Pelodiscus sinensis: one gene and its partner. The protein of the gene in region 1 interacts with the protein of each later gene in a pairwise test. Links are inferred from orthologs where the notes say so. Each region holds a gene or a part of one and is shown on either strand. Other genes may lie near its edges.

Region 1 (7,390 bases):
CAGCATGGAATGGCAGCCGGCTCCCCCAGCACGGGGCTGAAGCCTGCGTGTAACTGTTCACAGTAACTGGTAAGCTCATGCTTATCGGTCAACAGTTTAAACAGTTATTCTATTATATCCCTACTAAAGACAATGGGCTATGCCTGCTTATTTTAGTGCTAGTTTTTACTTCTACCTAATTGAAAGGACCCTTTCAACTTAAACATCATACTTGTATCTAAAATTTACCTACCAATGTTACTGTAACTGAGAATTTAGGAATGTGAAAGTGTAACCATGCACATGGATAACGGATGAGCCTGGGCTCATCACTTAACCTTAACAGTTACACGCAGGCTCCTGGTATGCATGAGTATCTGGCTTAAAAGCCAGCTTCTCACATGTACCAACTCCTGGGGAGCCACCTTCCACCTCCCCCCCCCCATATTTTGCTGGTTCTGTATCAGCTTCCAGTGCATATTGGCTCTCGAGGAGTCAACTGCCAGCCCATGTTTACTTAAATGCATTTTAATATCCCTACTGAAAATTAGAGTAAAAGATTATTTATCAATTGAACAAAGTTAATGTTAACTCTGTATTTAGTTAATGTCACTTACTTTTCTATAGTCAGATTCCTCTATTATTTGAGAGGGTCTTTAAAACAATAAAGGAGAAAGTAGGGCTGGGGGGAGAGGAGGAGGAGGAAAATGGAACTGCAAATCCCCAAAGTTGTTGAAGAGACTCATGCAGACTTAGTACAGGAAACTAGTTTTAGTACTTTTTAAACTCTTTTATTAAACAGACTAGATTTCAAGTTGATGGTATCTATTTAAAGAACTGTAAATAAATATGAGTGAATTGCAGCTCCACTGAAGCCAATGAGAATTTTCCAATTAACTCCAACAGGGACATGATTTGACCCCACATGTTCAAGACAAGACAAAACAGAAAATACTGCACAGTGACTAGAGTACAGAAGGAGGTCAGCAAGCAAGCAAATATTTTCTGTTCTATCAAATACAGCAACATGATTAAGAATCACAATGCAACACTGACCAAAACAATAATGGTTATACTGGGAATTAATAGCAAAATCTCAAAGAAAACAAGCAAGATTATACACACAATTAACAATCTGCTAACCTCTCCATAAACATTTTCTAAAAACGTAATTTTAAAATTCCAGGAACCAACATATGACAGAATGCTCCAAATCAGAGTTCCATATCCTAGTCTCTATAGTCTTTTCTCCCACCTCTCTGCCCTTCTCTCACTCCCATCCCCCAAATCCGTGGTTTCCTTTCTCCATTCCCTGTGTTTGTGTTATTGATTTATATTGCACTTTTTCAGGACAGGGATTTGTTTTAGTCTATATCTATAAAGTACCTAGCAAGTCAGGGGCCCTTTCTACATAAACAGTGAAACACAGTATTAGTTAGGCTTCAGCTAGGAGAAATGCAACCATTTCAAGAGAGGCAAATAAAGAGAATTCACTGGTGAATAATGATTACAAGAGTTTTGAAAATGACAGAATAATATTCTATCTAGAGTAAGGGGCAAATAGAGGCATAGCAACTGTCTACAAATAGGTAAAGAAATGTTATGTGTGACAGAGTCCTGTTATTTTGATTGCCCAGTCATGACAACAAGGAATACTGGGCTAAACTGAGAAATAAAGTTACACAGTCATCAATAAAGACTTAATGTTGGTCTAATCGGATAGCTTTCTTTGATAGGATAACGAATCTTGTGGATAAGGGAGAAGCGGTGGATGTCATATACCTAGACTTTAGTAAGGCATTTGATACAGTCTTGCATGATATTCTTATTGATAAACTAGGCAAATATAACTTAGATAGGGCCACGATAAGGTGGGTGCATAATTGGCTGGATAACCGTAGTCAGAGTGTTGTTGTTAACGGTGCTAAATCCTGCTGGAAAGGGATAACAAGTGGAGTTCCGCAAGGGTCTGTTTTGGGACCCGTACTGTTCAATATCTTCATCAATGATGTAGATATTGGGATAGAGAGTATGCTTATTAAGTTTGCAGATGATACCAAACTGGGTGGGGTTGCAACTTCTTTGGAGGATAGGGACATAATTCAAAATGACCTTAGCAAGTTAGAGAAATGGTCAGAGGTAAACAGGATGAGGTTTAATAAAGAGAAATGCAAAGTGCTCCACTTAGGAAGGAACAATCAGTTCCATACATACAAGATGGGAAGCGACTGTCTAGGAAGGAGCATGGCGGAAAGGGATCTTGGGGTCATAGTGGACCACAAGTTGAATATGAGTCAACAGTGTGATGCTGTTGCAAAAAAAGCAAATATGATTCTAGGTTGTATCAACAGGTGTGTTGTAAGCAAAACTCGTGAAGTCATTCTGCCGCTCTACTCTGCACTAGTTAGGCCTCAGCTGGAGTACTGTGTCCAGTTCTGGGCGCCACATTTCAAGAAAGATGTGGAGAAATTGGAAAGGGTACAGAGAAGAGTGACAAGAATGATTAAAGGTTTAGAGAACATGACCTATGAACTGGGCTTGTTTAGTTTGGAAAAAAGAAGATTAAGGGGGGACATGATAGCGGGTTTCAAATATCTAAAAGGGTGTCACAAGGAGGAAGGAGAAAATTTGTTCCTCTTGGTTACTGAGGACAGGACAAGGAGTAATGGGCTTAAAGTGCAGCAGGGGAGGTTTAGATTGGACATTAGGAAAAAATTCCTAACTGTCAGGGTGGTCAAATATTGGAATAAATTGCCAAGGGAGGTGGTGGACTCTCCCTCTCTGGAGATATTTAAGAACAGGTTAGATAGACATCTGTCAGGGATGGTGTAGACGGAGCTTGGTCCTGCCTTGAGGGCGGGGGGCTGGACTCGATGACCTCTCGAGGTCCCTTCCAGTCCTATTATTCTATGATTCTATTATTCTAATATAGACCAGGCAGGTCCACAGGCAGCACCAAAATGCAAAGATCTAGAAACAAAGCAGCCCTCGCTTCTTCCCAGAACTTAGAGGAATTTTTATGTGGAATGGCAAATTGTGCCCAAATGTAGCTATTGAGTTCATGTCTTGCAAATTTGACTGGATACATTATGCATAGTGTCTTTTGTTTTAATCCCATTTTTTCTCTATTCTTTATCTTTGTTTTAGGACATTTTAATCACAGGCTGTTAAAGCAAAGTCACTGGATCCATCCTTAACATAAGTCTGCCTTCTGATGAGCACTCAGATGAGCTCCACGATAATGGAACCAACTACTGTGGCTTTGCTGGGGGGAAAAAAGAGCGCTGTTCAGATGAGACAGTGGTTGATACAGATACAGTAAAAGCCAGTGGCCCAGGTATTGTGAATAGAAGCTTGCAAACATTTATGGGATTTTAATGGACATCATACAGACAATTACAACAAACTAGATGTTCCTAAGGGCTCTGAAGTAAGTTACATGCATCACACCTGCCTCCTCTTCGCCCTTCCTATCACTGGTCACCATCTACCCCAGTAACTCTTGCCCTACGGCGCACCCCAACGGTGCCTCTGTGCCTCAAGATCTCCACATCTCCCCCAGTTCCACGCGGCGTCTCTAGCATCAGCGGAGGGGGACCCAAGTTACTTAAGGCTTTGCCGCGCTCTGGGGTTTCACTCCCCCCGCCCAACACGGGCCCCGCATCGCTGCTGGGGGCTCAAGCTGGCGCACGACTCGCTGCACAGGCTGCCGCTTTTCTACCCCCGGCGGGGCAGCCCCACACGCGCTTTCCCGCACCGGCGGCAGGGAGCGCGCGGGACACGCCGCCACCCCCGTGGGGTCAGGCCCTGGGCGGCCCCACACGCGCTGCAGGGGCCGCGGGAGCCCGACGTCCCATCCCCCTCCGGCCAGGCCTGACCTCCTTCTCCGACGCCTTCTCCCCAACCCCCAGCAAGGCGTAGAGATCCAGCTGCAACAGCTCCTTATCGACCGCCATCTCCGCGCCGCCCCCACTGTCCGGCCGACCGGTTCCCCTGCGCCGCTGGGCCTGACCACTATCCCGCACCACTGGCTGCTGGGAAATGTAGTCTCTCCAGCCTCACATTCACCTCTATTCTTACAGCCCTAGGAGGAAGCGGAACTACAACTACCACAATGCCGCGCGCGGTCTACCGCCCACCCGGAAGTTCCCTCTCTGGCCTACCGGCAAAATCACCGCTCCCGGCAGGCTCTGCTCAGCAGGACATGCGCATTGTCTTGGGAAGTTTAGTTTTTTGTTTCAAGCCGTATAGCCCTGCGGATGGGATAGCTGGGATGTAAGGACTACAACTCCCATCGGGCCGTGCGCTGCCATGGCTTTGTTCTTGCCTACCTCGGGTGCTAGTGGGATAAGGGCAGCAAAGTTTCCTTGCCGGGCGCTGCAGCTGGAGTATCAGATCCTACTGCAAGAGTCGACGGGGCGAGGGGCTTGACGGATGCTGGCACATGCAGAGCCTCGTGGCTTGGGGACCGTACACTGGGCTGTGCGGGGTTTGCACCGACTCTGAGTCCAGACTCTCGCTGGGATTCCGGTTGTTACAGTATGTGCATAGTAGCATTGCAGCTTTGCATGGCACCTGGTTCGGACTGGGAGCTTCTGACTAGGAGCAGGGATTTTTGTCATCTTTGTGTGTATGTGCGCGTATGGCGCGGAGCACCTCTGGTTTGCTAAATACATAATAGTGTTATGGCACAGTATGTTAAAGCAGGAATTAAATCTCTGCTTTGGAGAGGTTGCATCCTAAGTACGCAAACATGTACAGTACAACGGGCTGTAGATGTTATTGCCGATAGGCTTTATAGAAGAAGGCGAGCTAGACTGGCTGAGATTTGGAGGAGAGGGAGAGCACTTTGGTGATCTCATCTTAGCTGTAAACATAGAACGTAGTCATTTAGGAGATCAGCAAATTATAATGTTATTTATTATTATCAATGCTTTCATTAAAGGTTTTTGTTTGTAAATGTTAAGCAAGGATCTGATCCCTTCTCCTCCTCTCTCTGATGAAAGAATCTGGGACCATCATTTCTACAATCAGTCGTTCAGGAAGTAAACAACCACTGATACACCATAATTCATCATTTCCCCCAATAGTCTTCCATTCCTCTTCTGAAGGAGAAGAATATTCCAGCACAGCTCTATCTGGACAAATAAACAGCTTCAGGGGATAAACTACTTCCTTTTGTACAGCTGTGAGAGAGTGAGCCTGCATTGCCCATTGGCGCTATGGATAGAAGGTGTTATGGCTGTGCATCCAAGTTTACTGTCTTCAGAAAAGAGGCAAGTCTCTCTTCAACACTGCTGGATAAAATATCTGACTCTCTAAAAAGACAGTTAGGCAGTAGAGTAAGTTTTCTTATGGTAGTGCTTGCTCAATGTAATCTGAAATGCCAACAATTTGAGGTTCCTCATATCAGAAATCGTAATCCCACCTACGGATGTAATAGTGTAGTTGATTAACCGATAAGCAAAAGCTTATAGGTTAATGCTGGAGACTACACGCATTTCCCTCCCCACCTCCACCCCACCTTGCCAGTACATTTTTTAGCAGGCTGGCCAGCAGCCTGTTTCAGTCCTGGGTCACGCTGGGTTAGGGACCAGCCCCCTGCTGCAGATCTTCACTTACAGTGTATTAAGAGCCTGGCGGGCAGGCAGCCCAGCGCAGTTCCAGTTCATGCCAGGTCCTGTGAGGGGATCTGGTTTTAAATTGGCTCCCTGCCTGGCACTCCATGCAGCTGCCTCTGATACAGAGGCAGCAGTACGGAGTGGCATGGGGCTCCTCGGGAGTGGAGTGCCAGCTCCTCTCCTGGTGACTATAGAATAGTCGAGTAACCGATAAGAATTTGTGAGGTTACTCGACTATTCACTTAACTGATATTTAACATTCCTAACCCCACCTCCCACTCTGCTTTACATTTTACAGTTAAAACCTGCTAAGCTTGTTTGACTCTAAGTACATTTTTTATGTGCGTCTCTGTCATTGTTTTCCTTAATTGCATATTAATGACAGACATTGTAATCTCTCTGTATTTAAAACATGTAGGAATTGCTATAATAGTGCAGACTTGTGGTCCATGTAATCTGATAGTCTCCAAATCCTTCAAAGGAAAGAGTGAACCCTTTACTCTACTGTGGGAGGAAATGGCATTGCTGACTCTAGTGGTGATCAGCTTGTGTCTTAAACACTGAAAACTCGTATGTTAGGTATTCTAGCTACAGTAGCTGCAACTACTATTCTTATTCATACAAATATTTCATTTTTCTTTTAAAGACATTTCTCTGAAATATTTTGTGGAAGTTTCTCCGACCTGGTGCATATCCCTGAATCTCTCTGGTATATTTCACAGAATTGTTACAACCAGGCAATGAGACACTTGCACTTCCATTTCCTGTCTTCTGAAGAAGTGGGTTGCGCCCACAAAAGCTCATGATACTATCTACATGTTTTGTTAGTCGTTAAGGTGCTACCAGTAGACTATTTGTTGTTTTTTAAGTTTTTCACTTCTTTATTTCTTTCTTCTCAGTGTGGATGCAAGAACTGTGGACGGGCATTCTGCTCAAGCTGCCTTGGGTTTAGTGCCATTGTTCCCCGTTGCGGGAATACTCAGCAGAAGGTGTGCAAGCAATGTCATGGAGAGCTAACCAGGTAAGATGGCAAGTTGGGCCAATGTGTTTCAGCTTCCAGTGATACAGAGCAGATTGCTGATCCACTTCCCTCTATAAATCCACTGTACACTGCCACATGCACACCATCTGCATACTGGAATCCCAAATAATCTTTTTCTCTTTTTTTTTTTAAGCTGGTACCATGTGGGTTTCAGTTCCAACTGTCCATACTAATGCTTAGCAGCTGAGCAGCCTAGTGATAAGATGTTTGTTTTAATAGCAAAACTTCCAATCAAGAAAGAACCCACCTTCATTGTTTCAAAGGCCTAGATGCTATATATAAGCTAAAGACCTAAGGTTGCATACCGTGGGATTGATTTTTGTTGTAACAGAAAAAGCCCACTATTCAGACCAATAGTTAAGCACAGTTAAGATGATCATATTTGTAGCATATAAACAGGTATTACAGACCTGTAACTCACAATGCTACAAAATATTATAATTATATATTGTATTGTATAATTGTGCAATATTATATATAATTATTGTATTACAATGTTTAAAACACATATCATTTTATATTCTGAAAAAGTAGTAAGGCACATCTCTTTCCCAAGGCTTATCACTGATTGTGAGCTCGAGAAGCTTTCCATTTCCTGCTTTTTTGTATCTGCAAGCTACAGTGGAGTTTGTGTTCCTCTTATTATAGAATACTAATGACACATTTTAAACCAAGTGAATTTTGGCCAGGTACTAGAATGCCAAGTGCCGTGGCAATGGCCATCACAGTTTGTATAGATTTGAAAGAG
Region 2 (7,190 bases), on another chromosome or scaffold:
GAAATAAAAAATGCAAATGAAGCACAGATTTACAAACCTCAGGCTTCATTTACATAATCACATCTAATTGTTTTTTCGAAAAAGGTTTTTCCGAAAAAAAAGCAGTCTAGACACAGTTCTTTTGAAAAAAAACCTTTTTTGGAAGAACCCTGTAAACCTCATTTTTTCAGGAATAAGGGTTCTTTAAAAAGGGAGGGGGTTCGAAAGAACTACGTCTAGACTGCTTTAAAAAAAACTTTTTTGAAAACGCAATCGGATGTGATTATGCAAATGAAGTGCGAGATCTGTAAATCTGCACTTCATTTGCATTTTTTATTTCATTTACGTTCCTCTTTCGAAAGAGGAATGTAGTCTAGATGCACCCTAAGTGCCCAGGCAGGTTAAAATGTTCCCCTACAGGTTTATGTGTGTTACCATTCCTGATGTCTGATTTGTGCCCATTTATCCTTTGTCGTAAAACAGTGGTCATCAACCAGTAGATCGGGATCTACCAGTAGATCTTGGAGCCTCTGACAGGTGATCCTGACTGGTTTGGCCAGGAAGCTATCAAGTGCTGGCACTTCAGTTGCCTCTCCACCCACTGTCATGCTGCTCCTGCCCTCTGCCTTAGAGCTGAACCCCTGGGAACCTCCTGCTTGCTGTGCAGGGCATGGAAGGGAGAAGAGTAGGTGCTGATGTCAGGGTGTCCCTATTCCCTCCATTCCGGTACCCTATCTCCACTCAGAGAGAAGGGGATGGAGGGAGCTTGGCAATGCAAATCTCTGTCACTCTCACACAGTGTGCGTGTGTGTCTGTTATTCTCCCAAACACACACTGTCCTTCACTCTCATCTCCCGGCCCAGCACATATGTGGGGGGTTGTTGTTACTTCTTTTACTGCTTGCAGTGTTATTTTTGGTTTTTGACTGGTCTGTGCATTTCATAATTTTCATCTCTCTCTTACGCTTAAATGTAATTCTTTGAGTTCTAAAATGCCTAACCTGTCATGGCTCGAGTCATTATTCCTACAGTAACTGCTGCTCCTGGAAGTGTCTGTCATGTCCCTGCAGCCCCTGAGAGAGCAGGGGCTCTGTCCTTCCCTGCAGACACCACTCCTGCAGCTCCCATTGATCAATAAGAAGGAACGATGGTCAGTAGAAGCTGTGGGCTCAGTGCCTGTAGATGAGGGGCAGCACATGGCACCATGGAGCCATTGCTGTACATGCCAGCTGCTTTCAGGAGTGGTGCAGGGCCAGGGAAGGAGTAAACCTGCCTGAACCCCACTGCTCCACTTCCCGGAAGCCATCTCAGTTAAGTGGTGCCCAGCCAGAGCCTGCTTCCTGAACCCGTCCCAGCCCTGAACCTCCTCCTACATCCAACCTCCTGCCCCAGACATGAGTCTCCCTGCACCCAAACTCCTTCCCAGCATTTGCATGCTGAAATCCCTCCTGGGCTAAGCCCGGATCCCTTCTCACAATCCAAACCCTTTGGCCCAAGACCAGAGCCTGCACCCCAACCCCCTACCCCAGCCAGGTGAAAGTGAATGATGATGGGGGAGGAAGGAGGATGGAGTGAGTAGGGTGAGGCCTCAGGAAGGGGTGGAGCAGAGGTGGGGTCTCAGAGAAGAGGCAGGAAGGAAGTGGAGCAAGGGTATTTGGGATTGAGGTAGTTTTTACATTGCACTTAAATTGAAAAAGTGATGTTGTGGTTCAAAAGGTTGGAGACCACCAATGTAGAAGGTGATCCAGCCCAGCCCAGCCCCTTCCCCTCCCCCAGAGGCACAGAGCCAGTGGGACGCAGGGATCGGGGGGAACAGGGTGTGGTGGAGGCATGGGTAATGGGACGCAGGGAACGGGAGGGGCAGAGGGATCGGGGTCTAGGGGCAGTGCAGGGAACGGGCAGCACAGAGTTGGGGGGGCAGAGATCAGAGGGAGCAGGGTGCAGGGTAGGCACAGAGAATGGGACGCGGGCAACAGTAGGGGCAGAGGATTGGGTTCTAGGGGCAGTGCAGGGAATGGGCAGCACAGACCTGGGGGGGCAGGGATCGGGAGGAACAGGGTGCAGGGTGTAAGGGTGGCGCAGAGCCAAAGGGTCACAGGGAAGAGGGAGAGCAGGGGTCCAGTGTGCAGGTGAGCAGGGTCGGCGTGGGGAACGGGCGGCGCAGAGACAAAGAGGGGCTGGGGCCGTGGCAGGACTGGAGCCGGCGGGGCGGGCCCTGGCTGCGCCATGCGCCGCAGCCAGCTCCCAGGGACACACGGCCAGAGCCAAGCTGCCGCAGCCCTTTAAAATCAGCAGGGCCAGGTCACACCAGCGTCCTAGTGTCCCGCCCTGCCTCCTCGCGCCGGACCTGCACGCAGGCAGCCCGGTGGCAAGAATCGCCACACTTCCCTCTTCCCAGCGGCGCTCTGCTCCTCCGCCGGCCAGCAGATCGGATGGGGCTACGCCGCCCGTAGTGCGGGCTTCCACCGGCCCGTCACAACGGCCCACCGGGCCAGTCCGCCCCTGCACTCGCCAGCTGGTAAAATCTACTCGCCACAGGCAAGCGGGTGAGTGTATTTGTTCAGCCCTGCTAATTTAGGATTGCCACCTTCCCAAGATTGTTCTGGATCTCCAGGACATAAAAAGATTAATATTTAATTAAAGAGTATCCTATGTGATGATACCTCCAGGAATATGTCCAGCCAAAACTGGCAACCCTAGCCTTTTCCCAGTTTTGCAGGAGGTTGACATGCAGATGGGTCCATTTGGTTATTGATCCATGAGCCTACATGAAAACCCACATAAGCACAACCAGGCCCCCTGACAGCAACTCTGTGCCCCAGGACAGAACAGTCAGTGGGCACCTATGCATGCACAAACTGTTCCTCTGCCGACATGGTCCGCGTGACATTTGGGCAACGTTACGCCTGTGTTGGCTGATGCCAAGCAAGCTGGTGGCTGCACTGCTGGGTGTGCTCTTCTGGCACAGTTAGGACTTTGATATGCCCACCCGGCAGGGTTGCTAGGTTTGTAATTGCACAAGCCCAAAGATCCTTGCCTCACCCCCTGACTCTTCACTGAGGTCATACCCATATCTTACCCTTTCTCCAGGGCCCAGTACCCTCTCTTTCCATCTCCCCTCCTTCTGTTGCTCACTCCCTCCGACCCTCACTCACTTTTACTAGGCTAGAGCAGGTGGGGGAAGAGGGCAGGGGGCAGTGAAGGCGGTCAGACTCTGGGTGGGAGTTTGGGTGCGGGAGAGGGTACAGGCTCCAGTAGGGAGTTTGCAAGCCAGGTGCTGACTCTGGGCTAAGGCAGTAGGATGGGATGCAGCAGGAGGTAAGGGGGCAGCACTTCCCTTGGAAAGCTCCCAAAAGCAACTGGACACCCTTCTGGCAGCAGCTCCTAGACGGGTAACCCAGAGGATCTCTGCATGCCTGCAACTGTAGCTCCCATTGACCACAGTTCACTGCCAATGGGAGCCAGGGAGTTGGCACTTGGAAGCAGAGATAGTTAACCGGTTTTGGGGTTGCCCTAAATTCCATGGTGCCCTAGGCAGCTGAATGCTGCATATGGGGCAGTCCAGCTCTGGTGGCCAGCCCTATGTCCCATCCATCCCTCTGTGGGCTATGCTCCTGAGGGCAATCCCTAGGGGTGTGTGGGGCTGGGACACTCCCCCCTGCTCTACTCTCATACACTCCAACTCCTTTCCCAAACGCCCCCACTCCCTTTCTTCGCCCAAGCCCTTTTCTCCAAGGAAGGCCCCCTCCCCGGTGCCTCCCTGCCCCTCACCCCGCAGCTCTGGACATGCCTCCCACAGCTCCTGCCCCTGAAGCCTGAGTGCAGCGCCCGCCCCCACCGCTAGGGGCAGCCCGGTGGGAGAGGTCACAGAAGGGGAGTGGCCGCGCGCGCCCCAGGCCGAGGCGGCTCCACGCCCAGGCTGCAGGGGGCGCACAGGGAGGCGCGGACACTGCCAGGGGCCAGGGCCATTACAGTACTAGGCTCCGTAGACGGGGAGCGCGAGGCAAACATGCGGCAGGGAGAGCGGGCGGGGCCCAGCCCTGATTGACAGGCAGGCGGCCGGCTCGGGCCCGGCCACACCTCGGCGCTCCCTGCGTAGGCGGGAGCAAGCCGTGGAATGGGAAACACTCGTGCGCCTGCGCACAAGGCCCTTTCCCTTCGCATCCGCCCTTCCCAACCTCAGCCCGGGGAGCGGCTGCGTGACGTGACGTGACGTGTGACGTACGGCGCAGTCACGCGGGCGCGGGGCGGAAGCGCAGCGGGGTCCCGGCCGCCTTTTGGATACGGAAGTAGCGCGGGGTCCGGGCGGCGGGGAGCAGCTCCAGGGACCGGACACGGCGGCGCCGCCCCCCCGACATGGCCGCGACCTCCAACCTGCAGGTGGGGAGAGGGACCGGGGTCCCGCCCAGCGCTCCCCTGGGGGGCGGGGCCCGGGGGGGGGATGGGAGCGGGGCTTCCGGTGTCGGGGGACGCGCTGTCGCCTTGAGTTCTGTCTCGAACGGGCTAAACAGCGCGAGTGAGACTCGCTGTGTGTGAAGGGGAGAGAGACTGTGACACTGTCATTCTGTGGGGGGGGGGGGGGACCCGAAACCGGGCTGCCTCACCCGTGGTTAGCAACGTGCCCTCGACCCCCGTGTTACAAGGGGAACGTAGATGAGCAGGAGGCTCTTCATCTGGTCAGCCTGTGGGAAAGCCTTTCCTATTGCTTGGTTCATGCACTTTTGAAATACCGTAGTCAATGTAATCAGTCGAATCTTAAAAAACAACAAATAGTCTGGCAGCACTTTATAGACTAACAAACCATGTAGATGGTATCATGAGCTTTCATGGGCACAACCCCCTTCAGATGAAAACTCCGGTCCTCTGAAGAAGTGGGCTAAACCCACAAAAGCTGATGATACCATCTACATGTGGTGTTAGTCTATAAAGTGCTACCAGACTATTTGTTGTTTTTTAAGTTTATCCTGTGCAGCCTAACTCGGCTACCTGCTGAAGCTTTTAATCAATCTCAGAGGGGTAGTCGTATTAGTCCTTAAATTTAAAAACAAGTGGCCCTATGGCACCTTAGAGACTAACCAAAAGATATCTATAATCATGAGCTTTTTGTGGGCAAAATTGTCAAAAGCAAATATTCCTGCCCAGCACAGGGCTCTTCAGGATGCTTGGGGGTTTGTCCCCTCTGTCCATTAGCTGCACGGTTCACTGACTGCAAGCACTGATGTTCTCTGCCCTCTCGTATCCTATTCCAGGATGGAGATTTACCTCCCCACTTTTCAATTAGTTCTTTCTTGTTTTTTGGTACTTCAAAAAAGCATCCATCTCACATGCTACATTATATATGAGGTTAGAGGAGGTGAGATCTGTAATTGTTAAGGTATCTTCTGCTCTATTAGCTCTATAGTCACTTTTCTTTTTCTTTTGCACCATGTTTTCTCTCTCCTTGGCTTCACACGGTAGTTGTGCTGGTATAGTTAAAGCTAGTATGAAAGCAGATATAGTGGTTATAAAGGCAGTTATATAACTCATAAGACTTTTTTTAAAATCATACTTATAACTGAAATAGCTGTACTGTGACACAACTGGTGGTAAACTAGGCCCTAGTTAGGGATGTAAGGGAGTATTTGACTACCTGATAAATCAACTACTCTCTCTCCCGCCCCCCACCGCCTCTGCTGCCTCTGTGTCAGAGGCAGCAAGGGCAGGAAGTCAGCTTAAAACCTGGTTCACCCCAGCACCGTCTCCATAGGGTTGAGGGCAGACCTGCAGCATTCCAAAGCCAGCACAAGCTAGGACTGCATAGTCCTTGCTTACACCACCCCCAGGAGCTAACCCTACTGTAGCTCTGCAGTTTAAACGTACTAGGAGCCAGGCTACTGCACGCCCAGCTCCTCCTACTACATTTAAACTGCAGAGCTGCAGTGGGGATAGCGAGCATCCCCCTTATCGACTAATCAGGTAGTCAAACTGCAATGGAATATCCATCATCAGCTAACTGTGTAGCCAATTTAACATACCTAGTCCTAGTTTCCATTCTTTTTATATATTGATTCACTATTATTTGAGCTATCATAGCTCTTAAGAGCCTTCCTTTTTCCTCAAAACAATTAATGAGCTGCAGTCTCTGGCAATCTAACATTTTGTTTTTGTTATATTCTCCTGTGTTTATAAAAGGGAAGACCTGGGCCATTTGTTCTAGTTTTCAGGCTATTTTAAGTGGATTTCAGAGGTGGCCAATGAATTCTGTAGAGTTTTGTAGTTTTGTTTGAGGGATGTTAACCAAAATGCATACTGATAAGCATGAGGCTTACTGGTATGCTATCTTGTGAACCCTCCTTTGCCAGTTAACTCCGGTGGAGGCCAGCCGTGCTGAGCCAGAGCAACCCTGGCCGCAGCGTGACTGGGTGGTAGAACCCTGCAGCTATGGCAGGCCCGGGTGGCAGGGCCTAGATTAAAATAGTTAACTGGTTAAGTGCTATCATTTAACCAGTAAACTGTTTTAACATCCCCTTTTTGGTTTTTGGCAGGAGCAGAACAGAGGGTAACACAGCTCCCTTGCTTGCTGGTGATTTGCTTTAACAGCTAGTCTTTTCATATGCCCATGCCACCCAGAATGGAAGATTTTGCTCATTGTTTTAATGAGAAACCAATTCAATATTTTTCTCACACATGGTGGCTCGTTGTTTAAAAGGTCTTCCTTTTGAAACAAGTTCTTTTAGTTCTTGTAGTTTAATTTAATCAAAATATTTTTGCACCAGTGCAATTGAGTAAAAACCAACCAAACAATAACTCTACTGCTGCTTCCCTTCTGATCCCTAGATGCTTCTGCTGTGTATCAGCTTTGTTTTCTATGTGTTAGAGAGCCCAAATCCTGATACGGCTATATGCACGAGACCAAGGACCAATCCATACAGTAGTTCAAACTCCTAGAAGCAGCCTTATTGCTGAATTTTCATGATCCATTTGATCACTTTGCTAGTACAGTTAACAGAGAAAAAAACTATGTATGAGACCTGACTATAGTAACATTTACCACATGTGTATAGTTACTCTGAGCAAACTGTTAGCTGTTAAATAGCTGTATTTATATTGGCATGAGCTAAATAACACCAAATAGAAATGTAAAATTATCCATTATCTGTTCTTCTTGTCCATACACAAACATAACAATAGCTGTTAAAAAGTAATCTGGAAAAAACAAAAAAATCCCTTTTT

What was found. The genes of interacting proteins can lie anywhere in the genome.
Region 2: the proteins of ZFYVE19 (region 1) and VPS4B interact in binary tests that used the Homo sapiens proteins (3 or more experiments, as listed by UniProt). The two-hybrid records come from large-scale screens. The link is inferred for Pelodiscus sinensis from reciprocal best matches to the Homo sapiens genes ZFYVE19 and VPS4B.

What each region holds. Positions count from the first base shown.
Region 1 is NC_134714.1:63,499,426-63,506,815, forward strand, and holds the start of ZFYVE19 (abscission/NoCut checkpoint regulator), read left to right. Parts: upstream 1-4,216; 5' UTR 4,217-4,518; intron 4,519-4,924; exon of another isoform or gene 4,925-5,069; 5' UTR 5,070-5,201; coding exon 5,202-5,255; intron 5,256-6,499; coding exon 6,500-6,621; intron 6,622-7,390. Other genes in the region: DNAJC17 (dnaJ homolog subfamily C member 17), read right to left, coding at 3,858-3,935. UniProt on the Homo sapiens protein: Key regulator of abscission step in cytokinesis: part of the cytokinesis checkpoint, a process required to delay abscission to prevent both premature resolution of intercellular chromosome bridges and accumulation of DNA damage.
Region 2 is NC_134712.1:117,746,300-117,753,489, forward strand, and holds the start of VPS4B (vacuolar protein sorting-associated protein 4B), read left to right. Parts: upstream 1-4,187; 5' UTR 4,188-4,334; coding exon 4,335-4,358; intron 4,359-7,190.